Linked DNA regions of Elephas maximus indicus. The protein of the gene in region 4 interacts with the protein of the main gene of each other region in a pairwise test. Links are inferred from orthologs where the notes say so. Each region holds a gene or a part of one and is shown on either strand. Other genes may lie near its edges.

What was found.
Region 1: the proteins of MTUS2 (region 4) and NTAQ1 interact in binary tests that used the Homo sapiens proteins (3 or more experiments, as listed by UniProt). The two-hybrid records come from large-scale screens. The link is inferred for Elephas maximus indicus from reciprocal best matches to the Homo sapiens genes MTUS2 and NTAQ1.
Region 2: the proteins of MTUS2 (region 4) and FAM110A interact in binary tests that used the Homo sapiens proteins (3 or more experiments, as listed by UniProt). The link is inferred for Elephas maximus indicus from reciprocal best matches to the Homo sapiens genes MTUS2 and FAM110A.
Region 3: the proteins of MTUS2 (region 4) and SLC25A6 interact in binary tests that used the Homo sapiens proteins (3 or more experiments, as listed by UniProt). The two-hybrid records come from large-scale screens. The link is inferred for Elephas maximus indicus from reciprocal best matches to the Homo sapiens genes MTUS2 and SLC25A6.

The regions. Positions count from the first base shown.
Region 1 is NC_064833.1:19,443,643-19,451,169, forward strand, and holds the start of NTAQ1 (protein N-terminal glutamine amidohydrolase), read right to left. Parts: upstream 3,003-7,527; 5' UTR 2,895-3,002; coding exon 2,806-2,894; intron 1-2,805. UniProt on the Homo sapiens protein: Mediates the side-chain deamidation of N-terminal glutamine residues to glutamate, an important step in N-end rule pathway of protein degradation.
Region 2 is NC_064843.1:38,838,857-38,846,616, forward strand, and holds the start of FAM110A (protein FAM110A), read left to right. Parts: upstream 1-4,752; 5' UTR 4,753-4,993; intron 4,994-6,683; 5' UTR 6,684-6,727; intron 6,728-7,760.
Region 3 is NC_064846.1:180,063,057-180,070,148, reverse strand, and holds the start of SLC25A6 (ADP/ATP translocase 3), read right to left. Parts: upstream 3,001-7,092; 5' UTR 2,889-3,000; coding exon 2,778-2,888; intron 116-2,777; coding exon 1-115. UniProt on the Homo sapiens protein: ADP:ATP antiporter that mediates import of ADP into the mitochondrial matrix for ATP synthesis, and export of ATP out to fuel the cell.
Region 4 is NC_064841.1:61,236,429-61,244,026, reverse strand, and holds the start of MTUS2 (microtubule-associated tumor suppressor candidate 2), read right to left. Parts: upstream 3,004-7,598; 5' UTR 2,763-3,003; intron 2,690-2,762; exon of another isoform or gene 2,421-2,689; intron 1-2,420. UniProt on the Homo sapiens protein: Binds microtubules. Together with MAPRE1 may target the microtubule depolymerase KIF2C to the plus-end of microtubules. May regulate the dynamics of microtubules at their growing distal tip.

The DNA.
Region 1 (7,527 bases), on a different chromosome or scaffold from region 4:
GGCTCTGCCTATAAATCCCCATTCCTAAATTCACAAGCTAAGTGGCTGTCATGGATTGAATTATGGCCCCCAAAAAATGTGTATCAGTTTGGATGGGATTGATTCCCAGTAGTGTGGTTATCCTCCATTTTGTGGTTGTAATTTTATGTTAAGGAGGATTAGGGTGGGATTGTAACACCCTTATTAAGATCACATCCCTGATCCAATGTAAAGGGAGTTCCCTGGGATGTGGCCTGCACCACCTTTTATCTTACAAGCGATAAAGGAAAAGGAGGCAAGCAGAGAGCAGGTGACCTCATACCACCAAGAAAGGAGTGCCGGAAGCAGAGTGCATCCTTTTGACCCGGGGTCCCTGCGCAGAGAAGCTCCTAGTCTGGGGGAAGATTGATGACAAGGCCGACAGAAAGAAAAACTTTCTCCTGGAGCTGACACCCTGAATTTGGACTTTTAGCCTACTTTACTGTGATGAAAATAAATTTGTTTGTTAAACCCAACCACTTGTGGCATTTCTGTTATAGCAGCACTAGATGACTAAGACAAAATTTGGTACCAGGAGTGGGGTGCTGTTCTAACGGATACCTAAAATGTGGAAGCAGTTTTGAAACTGTGAATGAATAGAGGAGCAGCAGCAGAAGAGGATCGGCAGCAGCAAAGAAACTGCAGCAGCAGGGAAGTGGCTGCAGCAGAGAACCAGCAGCAGCAGAGACCTGGCAGCAGCAGAACCAAGAGACCAGTGCAAGATGGCACTGAAGCAGACCAACAGAGAGAGAGAGCTGAGTGCCTGTGCACAAGAGGCTTCCTAGAGGAGTGGGGTGCCTCCGGGCACTTACCAGTGGAGCTACAGAGCTTTGGAACACTTGCCCCAGAAGGGCAGATGTGGGCGTGAGGCCCTAGGAGCCGAGAAGCCAAGAAACCAGGAAGCAGAAGCTGAACAGACAAGGAACACAAGAAGCCAAGCTGCCTCAGTCTCAAAAGATATGGCCAGGACCTCTGGGATTTCAAAGGATGGAGCCATGGCCTCTGATGTTTCTAAAGGCGGAGTCACCACTCAGATGGACTAGGAGAATGGCGTGCCTAAAGCTGAGGGAGCAGAGTTGCTGTCCCAGTGGGCGTGGAAGGTGGAGCTGAAGCCCAGGGCAGAGGGGCCTCCCCTCAGGATCCAGAAAGTGTGGCCAATACCTAGAGTCTAGAGGGCGGAGCCATTTTGTAAATGGTCTCAGAGAACAGAGGATTTTTTCAAAGACTTTAGGGCTAATATAATGTGTTCTGCTGACTTGTTTGGTGCCTGTTATCCCTTCTTTTCCTCCAGTTTCTCCCATTTGTAATGGAAATGTCTAGCTTGTGCCTGTTCTGCCATTGTACCTTTGTCAGCAGATAACTTGCATTCTACATTTCACAGATGAAGAGGAATTTTTGGATGCTGGACTTGGAGTTAAGACTTGCTATGATATAATGGGATAAATATGCTTTGCATGCTACAAGGATGTGATTTTTTGGGGACCAAAATGAAGAATGTCATGGATTGAACTGTGTCCCCCAAATATATGTGTCGACTTGGTTAGGCCATGACTCCCAGTATTGTGTGGTTGTCCTCCATTCTGTGATTTTAACTTTAGATTAAAGAGGATTAGGGTGGGACTGTAACACTCTTACCGAGGTCACATGCCTGATTCAATATAAAAGGAGTTTCCCCAGGATATGGCCTGCACCACCTTTTATCTCTCAAGAGACAAAAAGGAAAAGGATGCGAGCAGAGAGAGGGCACCTCCTACCACCAAGAAAGCAGTGCTGGGAGCAGAGCGCGTTGTTTGAATCCAGGGTCCCTGCACAGAGAAGCTCCGAGTCTGGGGGAAGAGTAATGAGAAGGCCGACAGAGAGAGAAAGCCCTCCGCTGGAGTTGATGCCCTGAATTTGGACATTTAGCCTACTTTAATGTGAAGAAGTAAATTTCTCTTTGTTAAAGCTATCCACTTGTGGTATTTCTTTTATAGAACTGGATAACTAAGACGGTGGCCTTAGGCAAATTACTTGTCCCCCTCTGTACTTCAATGTCCTCATTTTAAAAAATGGGTGTAACAACAGTACCTCAAACTACTTGGCAAAAGTCAGCCATTGAAACCCCTGTGGAGCACGGTCCTACCCTGACACATGTGGGGTCAAGAGTGGGAATCAACTCAATGGCAACTGCTTTGTTTGTTTGTTTTAATAACATTACCTGCCAGTGAGACTCAAAAGAATTAGACGACATAAACAACCCAGAACAACGCTTGGCATGTAGCAAGTACAATGTAAGTGTAACAGTTATTATTGTTACAGCACAGTGGTTAAGACCATGGTTTCTAGTGCAAGAGGGGATGGACTGGATTCTTGGCTGCTATTAGCTTGGTAACCCTCGGAAAATTGCTTTGAACTCTGTGCCTCTATACTCTTAAAATGGCCCTCACATCGATCTGAAACCATACAGGATTCCACACAGTAGCTTGCAAGGGTTCTCTGCGCTCCACCCTCAGCCTCTAACTTCCCCGTTCCCACTAGGATCTGCTTAAGTCCAGCCAAAAACCGCCAACCAGAAGTAAGGCACCACCACCGACTCTGCCATTCCTGACCAATCCCCCTCATCCTACTGCCCACGCTGTACTCCAGCGGCAAGGGCTGCCGTTCCCGCTCCCTCCACTCCGAAACAGGAAAACCGGCCAGTGGAGGCCCCGAGCTCCAGAGGAGGCCCCGAGCTCCAGAGGAGGGGCCTGGACGAGGCGAGCCCGGCTGAGGCTGGGAGATTCGGGGACCTGCGCCCGCTCCCCTCACCAATAGCAGCTGCTGTAGACACACGCTTCCCGCGGGGGGCCGGCCGGCTGGTACCACGAGGCGGCGGCAGAGGGACCATCCCCTTCCATGACGGCTGGCCGGGGCCGGGGCCGGGGCCGGGCCTCAGGCAGACAAGCTGCACCGATCCAGAGGGCTCGCGGGGAGGAGCCACGGGAGGAGCCTGCCCTCGTTCTTGTTGCGAGAACCAGCGGCCGGGTGGGCGGAGTCCAGGGCGGAGCGGTCAAGGCTAGGAAGAGTGGGCGGGGTCAGGGCAGGGCCTGGGTAGGGCTAGCCGCCCAACCTCTCGGCGCGCGGAGCCTGGGGCGGGGTGGGCGGAGCAGCTTCCGAGTGGTGGAGCCGGGTGAGGGGGGCGGAGCCCAGGGCTGTGCGGCCAGAGCTCGGGGCGGGGAGAGCAGCGCAAGTTCCCGGCGCGCGCAGGTCAGGGGTGGGTGGGCGGAGTCAGGGGGCGCAGTTTCCGGGTGGTGGAGCCAGTGGGCGGAGCTCAGGGTGGGGAGGATGGACAGTGCTGGTTCCTTCTGGGTGGAGCCAGGGGTGAGGTGGGCGGATCCGGAACGAGGTGAGCGGCGTGAGTTAGCGGTGGGTGGAGTCCGGGGCGATGCTGACGGTGCTTGTTCTGTGTAGGTGGAGAGCGGACCGGAGGGTGGACTCCTAGAGGGGCGGAGCTGGCGGCGCGGGTTCCTGCTGGGCGGGGTCTTGAGCGGGGACAGGGGTGCTGCCAGGGACAGTAACGCGGGGGGTCCTGGATGCCTGGGCAGAGAGAGGTCACCAGCGGGCGGCTGAGGAGAGGAGTCGGCAGGGGAAGGCTTGGAGTTGCTAAACCTGCAACCTGGGTGGCGCTTCGCTGTGAGTTTCCCGGAGGTGTCTGAGACCCTTCCCCAACCGGGAACGGGGTTGCCAACTTCGGAGAACTGTATGAGACGCCAAAGACTTTCGACGTGTGCAAATGAAATAAGAGAACCTTTGTGTGAAAATTTAAGCTTTAGGACTTCCAGCCTAGAGTCACTGGGAGCCTGGGGGAGAAGAGAGAAGGAGGAATTCCAAATATTACCACATCAAGGACAGTTTTAGAGAGGGATATCACCCCAAATCAAACCATATTGTACCTTAATTTTTTTTTAATTAGGAAGTCTGTATATACTGACTTGGAAAGACGTATTGATACCTTGATATATTAAGTTAAAAAAAAAAGAAAAAAAGTTAAACAGTCCGCATGGAATCCTTGTGTTAAACATGTATTTGTTTCTTTTTTTTAATTTGTACGTTAGATGAAGGTTTATAGAGCAGATTAGTTTCTCATTAAGCAATTAATACACATTGTTTTGTGACACTGGTTGCCAACCCCATGATATTGAACATCTATTGGATTGTTTGCTGCCAATATTGGAGCCCTGGTGAGACAGGGGAAACCCTGGTGGCATAGTGGTTAAGTGCTAGGGTTGCTACCCAAAGGGTTGGCAGTTTGAATCTGGCAGGAGCTCCTTGGAAACTCTATGGGGCAGTTCTACCCTGTCCTATAGGGTTGCTATGCGTCAGAATTAACTCGATGCACTGGGTTTGGTTTTTTTTTTTTTTTTTGGTTTGGTGAGACAGGTAGGGTTAACTGTGCTGGCAGAAGGAAAGCACTGTTAAAAGATTACCATCTAGAAGTTGGATAAATAGGAACCACACCATGTCAACATGAAATAAGGCTGAAACAACCTGTAAACTACTTTCTCCTTCTTAGTGTTTTTCTAGTCCCTCCCCCCTTTACAGGCTCAGAAGAACAAAATGCGGCCACTGTTTACCCTTCCTTAGCCCTCCAAAGATGGTGATGTAGTGCCAAAGATCAGTGCGCCTGCACTATAATCCCATAGTAAGTGATGCCAAGAGCTGCTGAGAGGACTCCACCTTGAACATCAGCGGGTTCCATCTTGGATTCCAGATGTGCCGGCAACTTAATTAACATGCGCCGCCATTCTGAGAAGTATCTGCCCCTTGAAGGAAGCCCACTAAATATTCGTTACTTCACTGTCTCCACCGAACCCATATAAGCCCTAGCTTTGCTTCCCTCTTCAAGTCAGTATTTTAGAGAGGCTTAGATCCCTGCTGACTCCTTCTGCTTGACTCAAGCAAAATAAAGCTTGTCGAAGGTAAAGTTTGTCTTTTGCGTGTATTGGTACTCAGGAAAAGGCAAGGACCCTTTGTGTCAGATTGGCAATTGGCAACATTGTGGCGCAGTGGTTAAGAGCTAGGCTGCTAACGAAAAGGTCAGCAGTTCCAATACACCAGCCTCCTTGGAAATCCTACCTGGCAGTTCTGCTCTGTCCTGTAGGGTCGCTATGAGTTGGAATCAACTCCACAGCAATGGGTTTGGGGTTTTTTTGGTATGGAAGGAAAGATAGCAAAGTGTTAAAACAGTATTTGTCTCTGGTAAATCCATGCCCATTATCAAGGACTTTCACTGTACAGTTTATAGCCTTCTGTATTGTTTATATTTGCAATGAACATATATAGCTGATCAGAGAATGTCTCATTATACAAGCTGAAATTCTCAGTTTGGTCTATAGGCCGTCTAGAGTCAGATTCTCAAAACCTCATGAGTCCTAAAGGCCGAAAGACCTAAAGACTTTGAGCATAGGTTCTTGTATCAGTTATCAATTTATTGCCTCTTAGTTCCCAATGCACACTTCAATATACAGTGAAACCTGTGAGAGCTGGAACTCTAGGGGACTGCCTTATTTTTCCCAGTCTTGCCAGTTCTCCACCTGTGAAAGAGTGTAGTCATACCACTTTTCTATAGCTGTCTATTGGTGAAAAATTTTTGAGTTTTCTTTCTCTGACAGGTTTCCATCTTACACGGGTTCTGGATTCTGTAGGTTTTACTGTATATTCTTGTTGTTATTAGGTGCCGTCGAGTTAGTTCTGACTCATAGAGACCCTATGCACAACAGAACAACACACTGCCTGGTCCTGCACCATTCTTACAATCCTTGCTGTTTGAGCCCATTGTTGCAGGCACTGTGTCAATCCACCTCATTGAGGGTCTTCTTCTTTTTCAGTGACCCTCTACCAAACATGATGTTCTTCTCCAGGAACTGGCTCCTTCTGATAACATGTCCAAAGTACGTGAGATGAACTCTTGCCATCCTGGCTTCTAAGGAGTACTCTGGCTGTACTTCTTTCAAGACAGATCTGTTCCTTTTTCTGGCAGTCCACGGTATGTTAAATATTTTTTACCAGCACCATAATTCAAAGGCATCAATTCTTCTTCAGTCTTCCCTATTCATTGTCCAGCTTTCACATGCATATGAAGCAATTGAAAATACCATGGCTTTGGGTCAGGTACACCTTAGTTTTCAAGTTTCTTTATTTTTTAACACTTTAAAGAGGCCTTTTGCAGCAGATTTGCCCAATGCAATACTTTGTTTGATTTCTTGACTGCTGCTTCCATGGGCATTCATTGTGGATCCAAGTAAATGAAATCACTGACAACTTCAATCTTTTCTCCATTTATCATGATCTTTGTTTATTGGTCAAGTTGCGATGATTTTTTTCTTTATGTTGAGATGAAATCCATACTGAAGACTGTAGTCTTTTATCCTCCTTAGTAAGTGGTTCAAGTCCTCTTCACTTTCAGCAAGCAAGGTTTTGTCATTTGTATACTAAAAAAAAATCAAACCCACTGCCATCGAGTCGATTCCGACTCACAGCGACACTGTAGGACAGAGTAGAACTGCCCCATACGGTTTCCAAGGAACACCTGGTGGATTTGTACTGCTGACCTTTTGGTTAGCAGTTGAACTCTTAACCACTACACCACCAGGGTTTCCCATTTGCATGTTAAAAAACAAACAAACCCTTTGCCTTCAAGTTGATTCTGACTCAGAGCGACCCTAAAGGACAGAGTAGAACTGTCCCATAGAGTTTCCAAGGAGTGCCTGGTGGATTCAAACTGCCAACCTTTTGGTTAGCAGCCAAGCTCTTAACCATAACCCCACCACGGTTTCCCACCTGTATATAAAAAAAAAAAAAAATTTTTTTTTTTTTAGCAGGTTATTAATGAGTCTTCCTCCAATTCTGATGCCACCATTCTTTTTCATATAGTCCAGCATCTCAGATTATATGCTAAGCATACAGATTGAATAAGTACGGTGAAAGGATACACCCCTGACGCACGCTTTTTCTGATTTTAAACCATGCATTATCACCTTGTTCTGTTCAAACGACAGCCTCTTGGTCTATGTACAGGTTCCTCATCAGCACAATTAAGTGTTCTGGAATTCCCATTCTTCCCAATGTTATCCACAAAATTTATTATGATCTACCTAGTCAAATGCCTTTGCATAGTCAGTAAAACACAGGTAAACATCTTTCTGGCATTCTCTGCTTTCAACCAAGATCCATCTGACATCAGCAATGATATCCCTCGTTCCATGTCCTCTTCCAAAATCGGCTTGAACTTCTGGCAGTTCCCTGTTGATGTACTGCTTCAAATGTTTTTGGATTATCTTCAGCATAATTTTACTTGCATGTGATGTTAATGATATTGTTTGATAATTTCTACATTCCATTGGATAACCTTTCTTTGGAATGGGCATGAATATGAATCTCTTCCAGTCAGTTGGCCAGAAAATTGTCTTCCACATTTGTTCTCATAGACAAGTGAGCGCTTCCAGTGCTGCATCCATTTGTTGAAACATCTCAATCAGTATTCCTTCAACT
Region 2 (7,760 bases), on a different chromosome or scaffold from region 4:
AGGCCCCCAGCCTACATCTGCACCACCTTGCCAGCCATATGAGTGAACCACCCCCCAAGCCTTCGGATGAGATCCCATGAAAGACCCTGAGCAAGAACTGCCAAGCTAAGCCCTTTCTCAATTCCAGCCCAACAGAAACATGTGAAAGAGGAAAAAGTATTGTTGTGTTAAGCTGCTATATTTTGTGATGATCCCTTATGCCTAGGGACTGTAACAAATTCCAATGCCCAGGCTGCAACTCAGACCCTCTATCTGTATCTCTGGGAGAGGGGCCCAGGCAACAGGACACTCATGTGCAGCCAAGGTTGAGAGCCACTGAGAGAGCTACTCAGCTTGCAGCTTCTGTTCGGGCAGCCTTCACTGAGCCTCAGCCGAACCATCTCTCCTCTGGGATCCCACAAGCCCCTGTGCTGACCCAACCTGTGCCTGTGGCCATCTCATGCTTAATGCATGTTTTGTGTCTGTCTCCCCCACTAGGATGTGGGCTCCCTGAAAACAGAGGTTTCTGGTGGGTCCTTCCAGAGAAGTTCAGACGTAAGCAAACACATACAGAGAGAACACCCTTTAAATTAAATGAAACAAAATAGAATACAGCCACAGGATGCACAGGCGACAGAGAGCTGACATCTGAGTCTGATTTCATCTCAGTTTCGAGCTGAGTGGAGAAAAAACTGCCAAGGTCAGAGTTCTGGAGGGGGCAAATCCCACACACTGAAGGAGCCACCGGCCTGTCAACAGGGCAGATGCTATTGTTGCTCAAACATGCTGGGTCAGGATAAGACCGTGAGGATTGCTGGCTCCCTCTGATCCAGGCGCAGTTAATGACAGTTTGTCCTTACTCTTAGTCCTCCACCCCAGCTTGGAGGAGGGCAAGGACTGGGATGCTGTCAACCACTCTGGCTAGGCACCAGGCTCTTAGCACATCCTTGAAGGAGGCATCATCAATACGCTGTTGGCATGTGAAGATGCCCAGAGTTCTAGAATCCAATACGCCCAAATTATCTTTCTTCATATGGCATAATTTGGGGTCCAGGGGAAATCCCTTCCCCCCTGGTTTGCTTTACTTTCTTAATCTGGGGAATGAGCCTCAGGTGGTGGTGTTTTGTTTTGCTTGGTTTGTTGTCAGCTGGAAGGCATGCAGGACAGAGGAAAGCTTTGAAGATGCAAGGGTCAGCAGGGCCTTTCTCCAAGCATCTCAAGTATATCCCAACCCCTGATTAAAGTTGAACGATGTTTCAGAGAAGAATCAGACCACAACACCATTATCATTCCTCTTTTAATAACAGGGAGGTCAAGGTCTGGGAGGGACCCTGGCAATGTGCTCACAGGGTCATATGCTTTTGTAACACTTGCCAAAGTAAGGTATTTTAACTGCGCTCTGTTAAAGCCACCATCTCTTTACACTCCAAATTCTCTTTGTGTCAGATGACGTTGGGGTGGAGTTAAGCATTTTGGGGCTTTGGCTAAGGGGACATTGAGTTGGGGACACATTTAGTTTGGGTTTAGTGGGATATATTTAGGTTGTTTCCAGTCATTTTTTTTTTAATTATTTATTTGTTTTTATTTTGCTCTAAGTGAAAGTTTACAGATCAAGTCAGTCTCTCGTACAAAAACATATACACACCTTACTATATACTCCTGGTTGCTCTCCCCCTAACGAGACAGCACATTCTACCTCTCCACCGTGTATTCCCTGTGTCCATTTAGCCAGCTTCTGTTCCCCTCTGCCTTCTCATCTCCACTCCAGACAGGAGTTGCCCACATAGTCTCATGGGTCTACTTGAGCCAAGGAACTCACTCCTCACCAGTGTCATTTTCTGTCTCATAGTCCAGTCCAATCCCTGTCTGAAGAGTTGGCTCTGGGAAAGATTCTAGTCTTTGGCTAACAGAAGGTCTGGGGACCATGACCTCCACGGTCCTTCTAGTCTCAGTCAGACTATTGAGTCTGGTCCTTTTATGAGAATTTGAGGTCTGCATCCCACTGTTCTCCTGCTCCATCAGGGGTTCTCTCATTGTTGTGAATATTTAGGATCTCTGGTGGCATAGTGGTTAAGAGCTTGGCTGCTAATCAAAAGGTCAGCAGTTCAAATCTACCAGCTGCTCCTTGGAAACCCTAGGGGGCAGTTCTACTCTGTCCTATAGAGTCACGTGAGTTGGAATGGACTTGATGGCAACAGGTTTGTTTTTTGGGGTTTTTAAAAACTTATTACTAACTGACCTGGTGTAGGAGCCCTGGTGGTGCAATGGTTAAGAGCTACAGCTGCCAACCAAAAGGCTGGCAGTTTCAATCCACTAGCCATCCCTTGGAAACCCTGTGGGGTAGTTCTACTCCATCCTATAGGGTCGCTATGACTTGTAATCAATTTGAAGGCAACGGGTTTGTTTTTTTTTGACCTGGTTTAATAATGGCTTCCAGGAATACGATTACCCCTTGAACTATCCTGACTCAATTGGTGTTGTGACGTGATAGTGCAGGGTTAGAGGTCATATTTCAATATAAATGACCTTACATCACCCACACCAGAAGTATTTGGGTGCTAGAGGAGAAGTTTGAAATGTACGTATACATGGAGCCAGAAGGTAGTTTGTGGAAAGTATTACATGGGTATGTCAAAGAGGTAATAAAGAATGTTATTTTTCCGGGTTTTGTAACATTTGCGGGATTTGTCAAGTTTTAAAATTTTGTCACTTGTGGTAGTTTCTTTTATCTTTCTAACCAAGTATTCACTTTATGACCTAATTATATATTCTTTGCTTTAAAGAATTCCCCCTAAATTGTATAAAGCTTCAGGCTGCACAAAGCCTGGATCTGCTTCTGCTCAGCTTTTTCCTGTGTCTTATAGGAGCACAGGGCCAGCCTGGCCTTCCCTCACCACTGCTGCCACTGCCACTACCAAAGAGTTCTTGCGTATTTATGAAGGAATATAACTGGCTCTGGATTCAGACAAATCTTAATTTTCTCACCTATAAAATGGGAATAATAGTAGGATCTCTTTCCTCAGATTGCAATGAAGTCATGGCTCAGATTGCAATGAAGTCATGGGAGATAATCTTTGTAAAGCCTCTAGCACAATCTAGCAGGGGATACAGTGAGGGCTAGGTTTGATATTTACCTGGTGCTCACAGTTACAGCCAGACTCCTCATTTATGACAGTTTCTGTTCTGATTTGATCAGTGCCCAAGCCAGAGTTCAAAATCATTGTTAGCTGCTGACATACATAAATGCTCCTTTCTACTCCCTGCCCCCACAAGGTATGTATACATAAGCGCTCAAACATTGACAATGCAATGAAAGAAGGAAAGACACCAGCCAGGATAGAAAACAGAGGCAGGCTCCAAATTGAGCAATGCCTTAGACTCAAACAGTGACTCACAGTTATAAAATTAACCTTGAAGAGCCCTTCATTTATTCTAACCTCATAAAAAAAGAAAACAAAAGAAGTTTTCCTGACAGTTTTAAGTATTGGGAATTTGGAAATTCCACAAAAGCACAAAGAAGAAATTAACGGCTGTTAATTTTTTTTTTATACATATATACATGTGACATCACGATTATAAACTTAATGCCCATCTATGGGGCAGTTCTACTCTGTACTACCGGGTCGCTATGAGTCGGAATTGACCGGACAGCGCTGGGTTTTTTGGTTTGGGGCATGCTGTACATACTGCTTTGAAACATATTTTAAGTTTAATGCATTCTTAGCATTTCCCCTGTATCTTGAAACGTCTTTTAACTATACCATTTTTAATGAATGCTTAACATTCTTCATCAAAAAATGGGGATAAAAAAAATTTTTTTTAATTTGATCTCAGGGAAACCCTGGTGTCATAGTGGTTAAGTGCTACGGCTGCTAATCAAAGGGTCAGCAGTTCAAATCTGCCAGGCGCTCCTTAGAAACTCTATGGGGCAGTTCTACTCTGCCCTATAGGGTCGCTATGAGTCAGAATCGACTCGATGGCACTGGGTTTGGTTTTTTTGGTTTTATTTGATCTCAGAGGATTATCCTGAGCACTGACAAAGTTATACCATGCCAAGCCGCCTGGCATGTAAAAACTCAATAAAAATCCAAAAAAACCCGTTGCCCTCAAGTTGATTCGGACTCATAGAGACACTATAGAACAAAGGAGAACTGCCCCATAGCGTTTCCAAGGAGAGAGGCCGGTGGTTTCGAACTGCCGACCTTTTGGTTAACGGCCAAACGTTTAACCAGTGGGTCACCAGAATGGACTTACATAATCAATCCCTTTCTGCTGGTCATTTAATTTGTTTCCACTGTTTTGCTATGGGGAATAACGCTGAGCTATATTAATCTTTGCTCGCATTTTGATCATTTTCTTAGGACAAATTTCAGGACTGCAGTGCACGTCATTTTAAAACGAAGCCACTCATCGCTGTGCAGCTAGAGGAACAGGGGAAGAGACTTGCCCAGGGTCACATGGCAAGTTAGCTGCAAAGGAGACTAGACACACTCCAGAAGCCCCAACCACTGCCTCTTTCAGGTGGGGACCCTCAGGACTTCCGGTCTGGGGAGCGGGGGGGAGGAGGAGGAACGGAAAGAACCACGCGCCCGGGCGACTGCAGCCGCCGGAAGAACGTGGGGCCGACAGGGAAGGGGCGGGGCCGCCGAGTCCGGGCGCTCAGTTCACGAGGTTGACGCTAAGTCGTCGCTTGGCAACGCGGGCGGCGCGGCGTTCGAACGGAAGCGGGGGACCAATCAGGATTTCCGGGGCGAACCATTCCGGCCGAGGGGGGTGTGTGTGTGTGCGGCGCGCTCACTTCCCCTTCCGCGGATCTCTGGACCTACGCTCCGGCCGGGGCCTTCGGAAAATCAAGGCCCCCGGGCCATCTAGTGAGACGGCAGCTCAAAGAGGCCCTCGGGGCTGGGGTCTTCCGGGCCGCGTTGGGAACGGTCACTCCCAGCCCGGGTCAGAGCTGTCAGCCTCTCCAAGACCCACGCTAGAGGAGCGACGACTCGCGTAGCACAGGCCCCAGGTGAGGGCGCGGGTGGTCTGGGGTGCGAGCCGGGGTCCAGCAGGGGGTTACGGTTCACTGAGCGCCTGCTGTTGGCGTCCTCACTGAATCGTACCTGCAAGAAGGAGGTGTTACCCCATGTCACAGGTGAGGACGCTGAGGCTTAAGAGAGTCAAGTGGCCCAGCCCGGAGAGGTCTGGCAGAGAATCCCATTCAGGTCTTTCCACCTCATCTCGCAGCCTAGATGTGCCTAGAAAGGCCCAGACGGCAACTGGTGGTCACTTCTTAGCTTCTTTGGGGCACGGCTCGTAGACCCCCTGGCTGGATCACCTCCTCCCTACAACTAGGCCCCTCCTCCCCGTCCCCGGCGTCTTTGGGTCTGTAGGGTGCCCCTTCTGGGCGTCTGTCTTCCCTTCCCCAGAACGCCATGGGTTGGACTAAGTGTTCATTTGGGGATCTTCTGCCTGCATTCTTTCTTACAACAAAAATTTATTGGCTTCACAGCCCTGCCCTCCCCCTTGCCTGTTTTGTCTCAGTAGCATTTGCCCCATCTGTTGTCCTATCTATTTCACTTATTAGTGAGTTTATTGTCTTCTCCTCTGGAATGTGACACAGGGCAGGGGCTAGAATGAGGCAAGTGAGGCACTCAACCTCTAGTGCAAAATTTAGGGGTGCCCAAAAGCTCAGTAATTAAGATAAATAGTATTTCAGTGAACCATTTTTAAAAGTAAAAATGCAGTGCATGCTAAGCAAAATATCACTGTTACAGGGTTAGTAACAGTGCTGTGCCAGGCAATATTGGATCCAAAAGGAAGAATTAGTATTCTGTCTTTATAATCACAGAAATGATGTAAATAACCACATATCCAAATGTAAAATTTCAGTGTGACAAGGAATATAATAAGAAGGAGGAGAGAGCCATGAGGGAGTTTCACTGGGGGCCCTGAGCTAGTCTAGGCATGGTCAGGGAGGGTTCCTGGGAAAAAGGGATGTTTGAACTGAGATCTGAAGGTCAGGGAAGCTTTAGGAGGAGAACAAGTGGTGGGCAGGTGAGAACATCCCATGCAGAGGGAGCATCAAGGGCAAAAGTCCTGAGGTGGGAGCAAGCTTGAAGAGGGTGGAGATGTGGCCAGGAAGAAGAGGAGCGTGGTCTCCAGGGCAGGCCAGAGCTCTGTCCCTGGCATTTGGGCCCTTTGAGAATTATTGCTTAAGGGGTACCTTGTAGGGTTGCTATGAGTTGGAATCGACCCTAGTAGCTTTCTTTCAAGTTCCTTGGCGTTTTGTTTGTTTATTTAAGTGTTGTGTAAGCATCACCACTATTTATTTCCAAAGCTTTTTCATCATCCCAAACAGAAACCCTGTACCCATTAAGCAATAACTCCCCATGTCCTGCCTCCTCCCAGCCCCTGGTAATCTCTAATCTACTTTCTGACTCTGTCCATTTGCCTATTCTAGGTATTTCATATAAGGGGGATCACACAATATTTGCTGTTTTGTGTCTGGCTTATTTTCAAGGTTCTTCCATGTCATAGCATGTATCAGAACTTTATTTTTCTTTATGGCTGAGTAATATTTCATTGTATGTGTATACCACATTTGTTTATCTGTTCCTCTGTTGATGGACACTGAGTTGTTTCCATCTTTTGGCTACTGTGAATAACACTACAGTGAACATTGGTGTACAAGTATCTGCTGGAATTCTTGCTTTCAGGTGTCTTGGTTATACACCTAGGAGTGGAATTGCTGGGTCATAAGGTAAGGTCATATTTAATTGTTTTACTGCATGTTATTCTGGTGGGAGGTCAACTTGCATGGCTTCCATGGAGTGTAGTTCCACCATCTCTGTCACAATTACAAGTGCTGTCCGCTGACTCAGCTGTCTCACTTCAGGTATTTCTTCTTGGCAAAATGACATAGGTACAGTGACACTGCAGCATGGTTTGTAATAGGAGGGACTGGACACACACTGGGTGGTGCAAATGCTTAACATGCTTGGCTACCAACTGGAAGGTTGGCCTTTTGAATCTATCCAGAGGCACCTCACAGGAAAGGCCTGGTAATCTACTTCCAACAAATCAGCCATTGAAAATCCTGTGGAGCACAGTTCTACACTGAAACACATGGGGTCACCATGAGTAGGCGTTGCCATGAGCGGGAATCGCCACAAACGAGAGTCAACTCAATGGCAAGTGGAACTGGTAGGCACAGTGCAGCTGTGAAAAAGGAGAGGCTGCTCTCTGGGTATTGATGGCGTACCCAGAACAACATATATTGTTGAGGAAGAAGGGCAAGGTTGAAAACAGTACACAAAGCCTGTTGCCATTTGTGTAAAAAAAGAGAAAACATGTATGTCCATACTTGCTTGTATCTGCCTAAAATTTCCCTGGAAAGACACACAACTACCTGGTCACAGTGGTGCCTACAGGGAGGGGAACTGGGTGGCTCCCCAGGACAAGGGCAGGAGAGAATTTTTTTTTACTCCATTCCTTTTTATAGGTTTTGAATTTTGAGCCATGTGAATATATCACCTGGTTGAAAAATGATACATATGTGATCACTATATATTATATATCTAATTGTGAGAACCACTGCCATATCTGTGGTCTGTCACTGACTTGCTGGGTGACCTTGGGCCAGTTTCTTCACAGCTCTGGGCCAAGGTAAGAAGCCATGATAGTGAGCCCCCAAAGGGTCAGAGGGCAATCAGGACAGAAGTGGGCTGTGGGTCTGCTTCACTTCTACCACCCCCATCCTCTGTGCCAGGCCCTTCCCTAAGGGTTTGCATGTG
Region 3 (7,092 bases), on a different chromosome or scaffold from region 4:
CCAGGTTGCCCCGCCAGAAGGACAGCACGCCTTGCTCCTTGGGGATGCGCACGATGCAGTCCACGATGCCCTTGTACTGCTTGTCGGCCGCGATCTGCTTGCTGGCGTGCTGCACCTGAGGGACAGAGCACAGGGCACCGTGAGCCCTCGGTCCGCACACAGACACCGCACGCATCACAAAGGAGCGTTCTTACAAAACTAATGTCGCTGACCTGACTGCTCACTGTCCTGACAGTTTACAGAGGCTACACCTGAGGGCCAGAGCACAGGACGCCGTGAGGCCTCAGTCTGTCCAGAAACACCCATGGCAGCACTAACGGCTTGTACTCGGCTAACTAAATGGCTGGCAACTTTAAGTCACCCAGGGGTGCTGTGGGAGAAAAGCCTGGTGCTCTGCTCCTATAAATACTACAGCCTAGAAAGCCCTACAGAGCAATTCTACCATTTACATGTAGGGTTGCCGTGAGTCAAAATCGGCTGATGAGAATTTTCTTTTGGGGGGGGCGGGATTTATTCAAAGAACAAGCACTTTTTATAAATGTAGTGTCACTGGCATGTCTGTTCCCTGCCTGCAGGATTTGGAGGTCTTGTACTCGAGATGGCGCAGGACTGGTCAGTGTTCCGTTCAGTTGTGCTTAGGGTCGCAACCGACTCAATGGCACCTAACAACAACAACACTTGAGAGCCAGAGGACAGAATGGTGAGGGCACTGCAGACCAAGGCCTGAATCTAAACCCAGAAATGCCCTTATAAATCAACAAGTGTTTTTATAAAACCAGTGTCGCAGACGTGACAGTTCAAACTCCCCTGATCAAGCGGGAATCTCTAGGTCCCTCCTGCATCATGGGAGCCTCTGAGTGCCACAAATGGTGAAAGGTTTGTCTGTTCACCAAAAGGCTGGCATTTCATACCCACCCAGACGTGCCTCAGAAGAAAGGCCTGGTGACCGACTTCTGAAAAATCAGCCACTGAAAACCCTATGGAAGTAAGTATTTCCACCGATATACATGCGGTTGTCCTGAGTTGGAATCAAGGGCAAGTGGTTTATTCAACCATAAGTCTGGAGGCCCAATCTTTATAAGCAGTTACTGTAACTTTAGAAATTCTGTCCTAACAACCGTCTTATAAGTAGCTTGTTACTTTTGGTAACAACATCAACCCGAGGCCACCACTTCCTACTCACACAGACCATATAGCATGTAACAGAACCACCCCACAGGGTTTCCAAGGCTGTCACCTTTACGGAAGCAGACCAGCACAAAAGTAAAGATAAAGGAGGTTACAAGTCCACTGCGGACCAGCGGCTGCATAAAGACAGTAATGAAAACAGAATCCCCCCGCCCCCGGCCCCCGCCGCCACAGGTGTGCTTGGGACTAGAGACTGCTGAGTTTCCAGAACAGAAATCTGTGCTTAGAGAGTTAATTTTTGAGTGAATTCCATTTGGATGGAGATGAATTCCTAGACAGACAGCTTTTGCCAGCTCCCACATACGATGTGCTGTTCAAGTCTGAAATCACAGATACAGTAACTCCTGTGAACAAATGCTGCTGCACCCATTTCAACCCACGTTGTGTCAGAGTAGAACTGCACTCCACAGGGTTTCCAGTGATTGGTTTTTTAGAAGCAGGTTACCAGGCCTTTCTTCCAAGAGACCTCGGGGGCAGGGATGCAAACCTCCAACTTTTTGTTTAGCAGCTGAGCCCAGTAACCCTTTTCACCACCTCAGACCAGACCAAATCCGCTGCCATCGAAGACGATTCCCACTCACAGCAACCCGGTAAGGACAGAGCAGAACTGCTCCATAGGGTTTCCAAGGCTGTACATCTTTACCAAAGCAAACCCCATCCTCCTCCTGTGGAAGTTGGTAGGTTTGAACCCCCAACCCTTTGGGTAGCGCAGTGCCACCAGGGTTCCTCTTTTCCGGCCCGGGGACTCCTGGAAATCAATTGTCGTGGAGTTGACCACGACTCAGGGACACCTCGTGTTGTGTCAGAGTAGAACCGTGGGCTGCAGGGTTTCCAATAATTGACCTTTTGGAAGCCGATCACCAGGCATTTCTTCCGAGGCGCCTCGGGGTGGACTAGAACCTCCAACCGGATGGCTAAGAGTCTAGCGCTTCACCGTTTGCATCGCCCAGAACGAGTTCACTGTTGTCAAAGAGACTGACCCAGAAACTGACTTTCTGAGCTCAAATTTCGGTTCTAAGAACTGTCAAGATCATCTACGCCCACGTACACCTGTCAAAATCCACAGCCGATGTGAATAACCCACAGGAGCCCCTTCCAGACACTGTCTGTGCGTCCCTCCTTGCTCGGGAAGGACGTGTGCACACGTGGGGTTTCTTTGGGCTCCCCAACCCACGATTCAAGTTCAAGGAGAAAAATGCACTTTAAAGGACCCCCTGCCCCGGGACACAGGGCACAAGGGTGGGCACTGGGGGCGGAGGTGGCCCCAGCTGGGGGTCAAAGCTCCCCAGGGACGGTCACCCTCCCAAGGTCACGACATGCCCGCCCCAGAGTCGCTCTGCCCTTCCCGACCCGGGCGCCAGAGCGCATGCGCGCCCGGCCCGGAGCCCGTCCCCGCCCCCACGCCTGCGGCGACGCCCCACGTGACCCGCCATCGCCCCGCCCCGGAAGCCGCCGGCGCGCGGACAAAGCGGTCGCGGCCTTGCACTTCCGGTGCCGGTCCCGGTGCTCGCGGCCGGCCCGACCCGGTCCCCCGCGCCCTGTCCGCGCGGCTCCCTCCGGGCCCGGGGTCCTGCCCACCCGCCGCCCACCTGCAGCAGCAGCTTGACCCGCTCGATGGGGGCCACGGCCGTCTTGGAGATGGCGGCGGCGATGCCGCCCGCCAGGAAGTCCTTGGCGAAGGAGATGGCCTGTTCCGTCATGGTGGCAGAGCGCGCTGCGGAGCGGGCGGAGAACTGGAGTGGACGCGCGAGGGCAGGGAAGGTGGGCGCCGCTGGCTCTGCCGCCGCCGCCGGGACCGAAAGGACGGGCCGCCTACCGCGCAGCCGCTAAGGCGCCCAGGCCCCGCCCCCGCCCCCGCCCGCAGCGCCTATTGGCCGCCGCGCCCACCGGCGCCCCGCCCCTCGCCGCGTGCCGCGCCCCCGGGGGATGCCGGGAGTCGCCGCGTGCCCCGCCCCGCGCCCCCGCGCGTCCTGCCCATTGGCCGCGCGGCCGCCACGCCCCGCCTTTTCCTGCGCTCGGTGGCCCCGAGGCATGCTGGGAGCCGGGTCCCGCCCATGCGCCTTGCGGGCGGGGGGCTCGGCTGCAGTGACCTTTTCAAGGTCACTGGGAGCGGGGAGGTTTGGGGGGCTGCCCCCGGGGCGCGCCGTCCGCGGCCTTCCACCAGGCCCGGGTGCCCGCGCGCATCCCCGGGAAGGGAGACAAGGCCAAGGACCGGAAGCTGCCGTGCTCCCGACCCCCGCTTTTCCCCCAGGATGGAGCCTTTTAATGGGGGGCGGACGCGTCGTCCAGTGAAACCCTCAGACCCTGCTAAAGGGAAACACGTTTTTGGGGGGCGGCCTGATGCCCCTTCCTCGCGCTAGGGCGCCCCGACCCCGAGCGAGGCTCCGCCTGTCGCCCCTCCAGGCTCACCTGGGGGCCCTCTGCCCCCGCCCCTTAACTCCCGGCACCAGCCCGGTGGCCTTTATGGGGCCTGGGGTCCTTTGCTGCACCCCCGCGGGGCTCCCCCTCCACCTGCACTGGCGCCCACCTCCCCCAGGCCACCGAGGGGCTTCTTCCCCACCTTACCCCTGTAAGGCCCAGGGCTGACCTTTGGGGACTTGGAGATGAGCAGGAGGTCATAAGCTGCCCATATTACACACACTGACATACACCCCTTACGCCCACCCAGAAAGTAAGGTTGTGAGGGCAAGATGTTTTAAGATACTTTGAACTTTTTTTTTGATGTAAAAAAGAAAACAACCCCATTGCCATCCCTTGGATTCCAACTCATGGCGACCTTATAGGACAGAGTAGAACGCCCCCATAGGGTTTTGTAGGCTGTAAATCTTTACAAACTGACATATCTTTCTTGTGCAGACCACCTGGTGGGTTCGAATCACCGACCTTTCGGTTCTCAGCCAAAGGCTTTAACCACGGGGCCACGATCACCCAATGAGTTTTCACAAACTGAACACAGTCCGGTAAGAAAAGACCCTTACCAGCAACCCAGAATGGTTCCTGGGTGGTGTAAATGGTCAACACACTCAGCTGCTAACTGAAAGGTTGGAAGTTCAATTCCATTCAGACGTGCCTCAGAAGAAAGGCCTGGCAACCTACTTCCAGAAAAATCAGCCACTGAAAACCCTGTGGAGCCGCGTTCTGTTCTGACACGTCGGGGGGTCACCATGAGTCAAGTTTGATTCAATGGTAGCAGCTCAGAAGCAGGGTCCTTTTTTCTTTTTTTCCTTTCTCCCTCCCTTGCTTCCTTTCTCTCTCCTTCCATTCTTTCCCTCTCTCCTTCCTTCCCTCCCTGTCAGTCCCTGGCACTGAATGAATGGGCAGATGGAATGGAGCCACACAGAAGAGCTCAGGGCACGCCACCCTGCCAATTTCACGGTCCAGTGTGTTATGAGGAGCCCTGGAGGCAGAGTTGGTGCAGTGGTTAAGTATTTCATTGCTAACCAAAAGGCCGGCTGTTTGAATCCATCAGCCGCTCCTTCGAAATCCTATGGGGCAGTTCTCCTCTGTCCTGTAGGGTTGCTATGAGTCAGAATCGACTCGACGGCAACAAATTTTTGGTTTTGGATGTGTTTTGAACTTTTTATTGATCTGTAACATACAGAAAATTGCACAAGCACTCGAATTTTCACGAAGAGAACATAGTCCTCTCAGAAAGACCCTTAGTAGCAAACCAGAAGTGTCCCTGGATGGTGCAAACAGTGGACATTCTCAGCTGCTCACCAAAAGGGGCACAGTCCAAGGCCCTGAAGCAATGGGTGAGGGGAGGGAACCAGACACAAGAGCTCAGGCACCCTGAGCCTATCCACTTCCCAGGCAGCAGTGTCCTTTAAATGCCTTTCTTAGTCCTCTCTTGACCTCTGCTGTGAGGCAGGTAGGGGGCAGGGCTTGAGGCCTCCACATTCCACAGGCTTCAGCTGGCTTGGAGGCAGAGGCTGTACCTGGAGGGTGTGCCCGGCTGTGGGCAGGGACAGGGTGTCTGCTCAGGGACCTTGTCTGGGCACTGGTTTCCACCAGATGTTTCTCGTCTTTGCAGACTCAGCCTGTCTGGGCTGGAACAGACCCAGGAGACGGTTATCACTGCCCTCGCCTGAGCCTACAGGGCCACGGAGCTGGAGTGTGAGGTCCAGCTGGGACTCCCAGGCCCTGGAATGTGGTGTATCAACTTCAGTGCCACAGACTGTGTGGTACAGAAGAGAGCGTTTGTAATATTTACAGGAGTCCTAGCGGCACAGTGGTTAAGAGCTATGGCTGCTAAACAAAAGGTTGGCAGTTCAGATCCAACAGTCGCTCTTTGGAAACCCTGTGGGGCAGTTCTGCACATCCTACAGGATCGCTGTGAGTCCGACTCGAATCCACAGCAATAGGTTTTAATGTTTATGGAAGCAGGTTCCCTCGGAGCCACTGAGTGGATTTGAATCACCAACCAGGGCTCTTTCCCATAAATAGACACATTAAAAGATTTTGGGTTTTAGCTGATGGCTTGGAATGAGTAGTGCAGTGATGTGGCTGGCAGTTTTTTCTTTTTTGGGGGAGGGGGATAGTAGGAACTGTGAAATTCTTGGGAATCAGCGTTCCATCAGGTGCTGCCTTCAAAGGTCTCTAGTGACAACAGGGAGGAGGCTGGACAGGGCAGGGCTGAGGGGAAGGGCCAAGCTCCATTTACTTAGGTGTGACAGGAAAACCTGTCAAGGCCAGAACCTGTGTAAGGCAGAAACCTGTCCGAGAATGGAAACTCAAATATTTCCCACTAATAAAAAGTGTTAGAAAAGTGGTAAGACTGCACCCTGTCGAAAGCAGAAAACTTAGGAGACCCAGAAAAAGAAAGTAGTCCTGTCAGAGTTCCCCCTTGCACGGATTTCACTATAGTATATGACTTATGGTTGGAGCCCTGGTGGTGCAGTGGTTAAAAGCTTGGCTGCTAACCCAAAGGTCAGCAGTTCGAATCTGCCAGGCGCTCCTTGGAAACCCTGTGGGGCAGTTCTCCTCTGTCTTGTATGGTTGCTAGGAGTCAGAATCGACTCCACGGCAGTGGGTTACATAACTTAGGGTTTGTGCCGCTGCCTCCGCAGAACCCCGGAATAAGTCCAGAGGGTAGTTTTTACTAAGTGCTGTGTTGCAAACAGAACAGTCCCCAAAACCCCGGGGTTGTGGGTAGCAGTTAGCAGGGACAGCTGCTTCGTGTTGTCCTTGGCTGGCAGGAGTCAGGGTTGCTGTTGGGTCACCTTGGGCCCCAATCTCCACTTCCTTCCAGCCCGGCATCTCAGCCAGGGCCCTTCTTGTTCCCTCAGCGCCGCTGTGCAAGGTGAAAGAGTCTAGGAATAATGCCTTCCTGGGCTGTGCTCCAGGAAGCCTGGTGGCATAGTGGTTAAGTGCTATGGCTGCTAACCAAAGGGTCGGCAGTTTGTATCTGCCAGGCGCTCCTTGGAAACTATGGGGCAGTTCTACTCTGTGCTATAGGATCACTATGAGTCGGAATCGACTCCATGGCACTGGGTTTGGTTTTTTTTTGGTTGGACTGCGCTCCACGCTGGCACCCATTCTCTGCCCCTAGGTGTCCTGGGCCATCCCATAGGTGCTGGGTTGATCAGGAGATCCTGGGTTTGAGGCTAGTCGCCCAGAAGAGCGGCTCCCTCCTGGGCTTAGTTCACTTAGCAGGCTGGGACATAGTGGCTGGCAGAGACTGCCCCGGCCTCAAGGGCTTTTCACAGTCCAGGGCACATCACCCACGTGGGAAGGCCCCTAACCCAGATCATCCCTGGGGAGGATGACAGAGGACTTCTAGAAGGACCAGCTGCCCCACTGAGCCAAGGAATGGGCCCCCAGGAGGAGGACGGGAGACCCTGGTGGCTACAGGGACTGCCCCAGGGGGCAGGAAGACCCCAGTCCCCTGGAGGCAGGGCACTA
Region 4 (7,598 bases):
AGTGTTATGTACTTCATTTCCTAGTCTATACTAACGTAACGAGTTTTTAATTTAATAGAAAAATTATCTTTCATAAGACCTGATGCTCTGATCATGTAAACATAAAAGAGTACTACTGGGTCGCCACGAGTCAGAATCGACTCGACGGCCAAGAGTGTGGTTTTTTTTTTTTGAGTACTCAGCTTTCACTGCTGTGAGCTGTGCACAATGAAACGTGTCGCTTACGACTCTGGCAAGTGTTCTACACGGAATTACAAGTCCCTGATAAATTACTCTGTGCAGTGTTAAAAAATAAAAAACAAGAAACATTGTTTATACGAAAGTATAAAAAAAAGAAACATTATTTATATGAAAGTATACATGCCGTAAAATTCTTCAGCGTACCACCTTTCCAATACCATTTTTCTCTTCCCATATTTCTGAGCCCGGGTGACGCAACGGTTAAGCACTCGGCTGCTAACCACAAAGTTACTGTTTGAACCCACCCAGCAGCTCCACGGCAGAAAGACCTGGCAATCTGCTCCTACAAAGATCACAGCCTAGAAAACCCTATAGGGCAGCTCTACTCTGTCACATGGGGTCGCTGGGAGTCAAAATCGACTGGACTGCACCTAACAACAACTGTTTACTTAAACCATACCTTGGGCTTTTACCAGCCACACCTTGGGCTACAAACTGACAAATGAAAAGAAATAATGTTTTCCAAAACAAGAGCCCTGGTGGTGCAACGGTTAAGTGCTGGGTTACTAACGGAGAGGTTGGTGGTTCTAACTCACCCAGTAGTTCTGCGGGAGAAAAGACCTGGCCATCTGCTTTTGTAAAGATCACAGCCTAGAAAATCCTATGGGGCAGTTCTGCTCTGTCACATTGGGTCACCGTGAGCGAAAATAAACTTGACAGCACCCAACAACAACAACAATGCTATCCAATGGGTCTCAACCCTGGATGCATGGTAGAATCCCCATGGGAGCTTTTGACATTGCAGATGCCAAAGCACTACCCCAAACCAGGTAAAACGATATGGGGGCGGGGGATGGCAGGGCCTGGGGAGGAGGCACCTAGATATTGGTATATCTGACAGTTTCTACTTTTGGCTTCTTTTTACCTGAAAAAACAACCATAAATGTGAGCAGAGAGGTTTTATTGGGGGAGGGGGCAGGTCTTGAATAACTGGCAACTCCCAATTACTATGCTTTCATCAGATATTAAAATAAAAGGAACCCTGGTGGCAAAGCGGTTAAGCACTCGCCTGCTAACCAAAAGGGTCAGCAGTTTGAAGCCACCAGCCAGCATCTCTGCAGGAGAAAGACCTGGTAATTTGTTTCTATAAAGATAACCACTAGGAAACCTATGGGACAGTTCTACTCTGTCACATGGGCTTGCTATGAGTCGGAATCGACTCAACGGCACACAACCACGTCAAAATGAAATCATTCGATAATTTGAAACCCATAAACGATATCTGTAGAATTTTTTTTTCATTACTAGCAAATAATCTGCTTCCATAAAGGCAACAGCCAAGAAAACCCTATGGGGCAGTTCTACTCTGCCACATGGGGTCGCTATGAGTCCAAACGGACCCCAGAGCACCCACAGCAACATCAATAAGTAGTCAAAGATTCTCATCAAGTTTTGCAGTAGTCTTTACAAAACCTACTTTATTGTTTAATGCTTTGCAACTCTGTCTCTACCTAATGTTATAGAAAAAAGGGCTTCCTACTATCTTAAAAGGGTGGCTCGAGCTGGGTCCACGTTTGTCTTCAAGCAAAGTTTTGGTTTAAAGCCGAAATGACGGTTCTGACATCTTCGCTCCCTCTTCTTAGATCCTCTGGTAATCACTTTTCATAACTGAACCAAAGAGCAAATATTTTTTTAAAGCACTTATATAACAGAGAGTACAGGCGCCTTTGGGACCCTGCCAAGAGTACTTCTTCCCGTGTTTGTATTTAAAATAGAATGGTAGTAACATCACTTGTGTGCCTGAAATTCCTCTGTGCACAGGCTCAGAATGAAAAATGGATGTAGCAAACCGCTTCACTGCGTACCATTATAAAGCTCGAAGGAAGTAACACATTCATACTAAATTAAGACGAAGACACAGACCGAATTATCCAAAGCTGGAGGAGGGTGGGGGACACCTGATTTCACTCGGTTTAACCTACCATCCCCTCTAAAACGGGATAGTCTAACCCGGCAGCTCCCGAAGGTGCCAAATGAGCTGCAACACTTCAGCCCACGCAGGTGATGTGGGCAGGAAAGAATAACTGCTATGACGACAGAACAGCCGAAAAAAACGCTGCGCTTTCCGGAGCACCGGCTGCGACCATTCCCAATTCTGTCCCAGTCTCAGCACTGTCCCCTGAAGGCAGGCACCGGAGCCAAGACCGACCCCTGCAGACCGCAGAACAGAATGTGCTCACCTGGATCCGAAAGAGCCAAGAAAGATGTCCGAGGGGCCACTCCTGCCCTTAACTAGCCTCTCCTGGCGACCCGGCTCCGACGCGCGTCCTCCTCCTCCCCGGCTCCAGTTTGCTATTTACGGAGAGGATGGACTCTGCGGACCGGCCACGGATTGCAGCCAAAGGGGGTGGACAAACTTGCCAGGGAACCAGGAGAGGGGGCGCAGGTGGAGAAACCAGGGACGCCACCCCAGCTGGAGACAGCCCCTGACAACTGCCGCCCGCACCACCCACGCCCGCCGCGGCGCACGCAGCGCCGGGAGCGCCTGGGAACCCAGCGCCCCGCTGCGCCCCCGCACTCACCTCTGCGCGGGCACCGCCCAGGCCGCCGCCCCCGCCCCAGCGCAGGGGAGCCGGGGGATAACCAGGGGACCAGGGCAGGACGCCGGGCGCGCCCGGTTCGGCCGTCGCAGCCACCGCGCTTCGGCCGCCTCCCCGGACAAAGAGGAGCCGCGGGGCCGGCGGCGGAGCCCGAGCCTCGGAGCGCGCCGCGCAGCCGGCAACTCTCGCTCGCGCGGTGCGGCCCTCGGTGACAGCCCGCCGGCTGCGGAAGGGAGGGCGGGCGGCGCGGGCAGCAGAGGCGCGCACCCCCTCCTGGCCGGCCCGAGACGCGCACGCCGAGGCCCGGCGCCGCCAGCCGCCCGGCGCGCCCCTCCCTGCCCGCGCCCCGCGCACCCAGGCCGCCCAGCGCGAGCCACAGCGCCCTCTGCCGGCCCCTCGGAGCCTCCGCCCGCAGCTCCGCTCGCGTCCGCACCGTCCGGCGGCTCCTGGAGCCACCCAGCCGCGCCACCGCGGTCCCCTAGCGGCTAGGCGGCCCCAGGGGAGAGAAAGGAGAAGCAAGGCTGAGGAGAGGGGTGGCAAGGCAGAGGGCTTCGAGGAGGGCGATCTGCTGTTTTCCTCTTAGGACGAAGACCGAACAGGTTGGAATTGGGTGAAGCAAGAGGAATTTAGGCAAAGCGTTGGGAAGAGCTTGGAGGGCGGGGGGATCCCTCATTCACAACAAGGAGCCCAGATGCGGTCTCCGACAAACTGTTGGAGGAAAAGGCGGGCTTTTCTTTCTAGAATCAGGTTTATTTCTGTGTCTAATAAGCACCAAATGTGCCTAACACTCTTCAAGGAGCTCCAGCGATTTTTGACAGTTCTCAGGAATAAATGGCTTCATTAATGACTTCTTGCAGGGTCTTCTGGCCCTACCTGAAATGCTCTTGCTTCCCCTAAACAGTGCACCTAGACCAAAACCAAACCCGTTGCTCTCACGGCGATTCTGACTCATAGTGACCCCATGCGACAGGTTAGAACTGCCCCCTAGGTTTCCTAGGCTGTAATCTTTATGGGACCAAGTTGGCAGGTCTTTTCTCCACGGAGCTGGAGCTGTCAACTTTTAAGTTAGCAGCCCAGCGCTTACCCAGGGCTCCTTAAGCAGTGAACCTGGTGGGTATTAAGCAATACTTTATATCAGTTATATTTTTTAACAAGCTGATCTTAGTGAAAGGACAACGTGAAATAGCACCTTTTTTTTTCTCTCCCACAGCACTGTGTTTTACAATGTATTCTATCAGATCTTCCTTCTCTTCTGGAAGAATCTAGGGCAGATTTCATAGCTTTTCCTATCACTTTCAGGTGTTAATAAAACTCTGGTATTAAAAAGTCCAGTCCAATCCAAATCCAAATCAAAACTTTAATTTCATTCAATTTGCCCCTTCTTTATTCCCCTCCCATGCCCACCAGCTCCCAGCCTGACCCAAGCTCAGACGCCTGTAGTGGGGAAGGGGAAAGAAGCCTGTCTTTCCCTTCCTTGTTCTGCCTCCTCCCCACTGACTGGGTTAAGACTGAATCCTCCAGGATGGCAGGGGTGAGGGAAGCTCCCACTGAATCAGGCCGTGGTGCTGATCACTTGCAGCTTTCACTTCAGCATCTCCTTCAGGTGGTCCACCTCACATAGACCCTCGGTGGGTGTTGCCGTGCCCTGGCAGGCAAGCCTCTCGAGTGCAGTCCTTTTGAGATGGTTCAGATCCAGCTACCTTCCACCGTGTCCACTCTGTCCCATGGAAAGTACTTGGCATTGTTGCTCATCACACTAATACTGCAGGCCAGTGTCCCTGAGGCACACTCTGCTCAGGCTTTGGCCACAGGCAGCTCTGACCAGCCTCTCTCCTTGAAGCTTTTCATGCCGGAGTCAGACTCCCATCTCTGGGTTCACAAATGTCCCAAGCTGCAGGTGATACATTTTCTCCATGGTCCAGGTAGCTCTCCAGAAGCACACCCTTTTTTTGCATGAAGTGGGTAGATACTCCCTAAGTTGCATCACAACACCCTAGGCTCATTCCAAGGAAATTCTCAGAACCAACTTTCCCCCTTGATCACTCTCTTTTCTTTCAGTTTCGACTGAAGATGGCAGAACCCTTAGCAACTCCAATAAAGAGGTGCCCATTTGTTGTATTAATGTTTCTCTTATGAAGTTATTGTGAAGATTAAATGAATTCATATATCTAAGAATCAGTCCTGTCATGTAAGTTCACAAGAAATTGTTTTTGTTAGATGCCATCAATTCAGTTCCGACAATGAGTGGACTTTCTCACATGACCTTGCAACTTCCACCCAAGCGATTGGTCAGGACTGTGTGATAGGGTAACTGTGGCCCACCAAAGGGGTTGGCCAGTTTTGCCATTCTGCTGGGTTTGAAATGAGCCATCCCAGAGGCAGGACAGAAGAACTCACCACCACCAAGAAAGGAGAGACTCACGGGAGACAGCACAGTGGGCTTCTTAGCCCATGGAGAGTGAAAGCTGAGTGCCTTTGGGCAGAGCATGAGGGCCAGGGAGAGGTGTGCCTGTGAGCATGGCTGGGAAGAGGCTGTCCTGATGGGAGAACAGTATCATAGAGTGTTTCTGAACCTGAATTGCAACCTCTTACTTCCTTAATAAACCCCATAACTGTGAGAAAAAAAAAAAAAGAGGCACCAATTTGTTGTTCTTAGGTGCCATCTAGTTGATTCCTACTCCTAGCAACCTTACGCATAGCAGAACAAAACATTGCCCCATCCTACGCTATCCCCTCAATCGTTGCTGTGCTTGAGCCCATTGTTACAGCCACTCTGACTGTCCAACTAGTTGAGGGTCTTCCTCTTTTTCACTGGCTCTCTGCTTTACAGAACATGATGTCCTTCTCCAGAGATTACCCCTCCTGATAACATGAGCAAAGTAAATGAGACAAAGCTTTGCCATCCTTGCTTCTAAAGAGCATTCTGACTGTACTTCCTCCAAGACAGATTTGTTAGTTATTCTGGAAGTCCACAGTATTTTCAACGTTCTTTGCCAAAACAATAATTTAAATGCATCTTCTTTGGTCTTTCTCATTCATTGTCCAGCTTTTGCAGGCATATGAGGTGAATGAAAAAAACCATGGCTTGGGTCAGGCACACCTTAGTCATCAAAATGACATCTTTGCTTTTTAAGATTTTAAAGAGGTCTTTTGCGGCAGATTTGCTCAATGCAATATATCGTTTGATTTCTTGACGCCTGCTTCCATGGGTGTTCATTGTGGATCCAAGTAAAACGAAATGCTTGACAACATCAATATTTTCTCCTTTTATCATGATGTTGCTTATTGGTCCAGTTGTGAGGATTTTTGTTTCCTTCATGTTAAGATGTAGTAGCTACTGAAGGCTATAGTCTTTGACCTTCATCAGTAAGTACCCTTCACTTTCAGCAAGCAAGGTTGTGTCATCTGCAAATCACGGGTTGTTAATGAGTCTTCCTTCAATTCTGATGCCACGTTTTTCTTCATATAGTCCAGCTACTCAGATTATTTGCTCAACATACTGATAGAATAAATATGATGAAAGGCTACAACCCTGACCCACACCTTTCCTGATTTTAAACCATGCAGTATTCCCTTGTTCTGTTTGAACAACTGCCTCTTAGTCTATGTACAGGTTCCACATGAACACAATTAACTGTTCTAGAACTTCCATTCTTCCCAATGTTATCTATCATTTATTGTGATCCACACTGTCAATGCACAGTCAATGTAACACAGGTAAACATCTTTCTGGTATTCTCTGCTTTCAGCTAAGATCCACCTGACATCAGCAATGGTATCCCTCATTCCATGTCCTCTTCTAATCCAGTTTGAATTTCTGGCAGTTCCCTGTCAATGTGCTGCTGCAGCCATTTTTGAATGATCTTCAGCAAAATTTTACTTGCGTGTGATACTAATGATATTGTCTGATAACTTCCACATTCCACTGAATCACCTTTCTTTGGAGTGAGGACAAATATGGATCACTTCTAGTCAGTTGGCCAGGTAGCTGTCTTTCAGATTTCTTGGCATAGATGAGTGGGCACTTCCAGCATTGCATCCATTTGTTGACACATTTCATTTGGTATTCTGTCAATCCCTGCAGCCTTGTTTTTTGCCAATGCCTTCGGTGAAGCTTGGACTTCTTCTTGTAGTACCATTGGTTCTTGATCATATCCTGTCTCCTGAAATGGTTGGCTGTTGACCACTTTTTTTTGGTAAGTGGCTCTGTATTCCTTCAATCTTCCTTTGATGCTTCCTGAATCATTCAATTTTTTGCCCATAGAGTCCTTCAATATTGCAACTCAAAGCTTGAATTTTCCCTTTAGAGATCATCTCAGGAATAAATTTGATGCACTGAGCACTAATGACTGAAGACCAGGCAAGTTGTCAGATGACATCAAAGACATCATACATGAAGAAAGCAAAGGTCATTAAAAAGGCAGGAAAGAAAAAAAAGACCAAAATGGATGTCAGAAGAGACTCTGAAACTTGCTCATGAATGTAGAGTAACTAAAGTGGATAGAAGAAATGCCAAAGTAAAAGAGCTGAGCTGAAGATTTCAAAGGGCAGCGCAAGAAGACAAAGTATTATAATGAAATGTGCAAAGACCTGGAGTTAAAACTCTGAAAGGGAAGAACGTATTCGGCATTTCTCAAGCTGAAAGAACTGAAGAAAAAATTCAAGCCTCGATTGCAATATTGAGGGATTCTATGGCCCAATAGCTCTATCTAAAATGTGGATATACTTTTTGCCATGGTGGCCGTGAAGAGATGCCACTCAAACCTTTGAGCATAATTCACTGACAGCCCCCAGCTGTCATACCTTCGGGCCCACCAA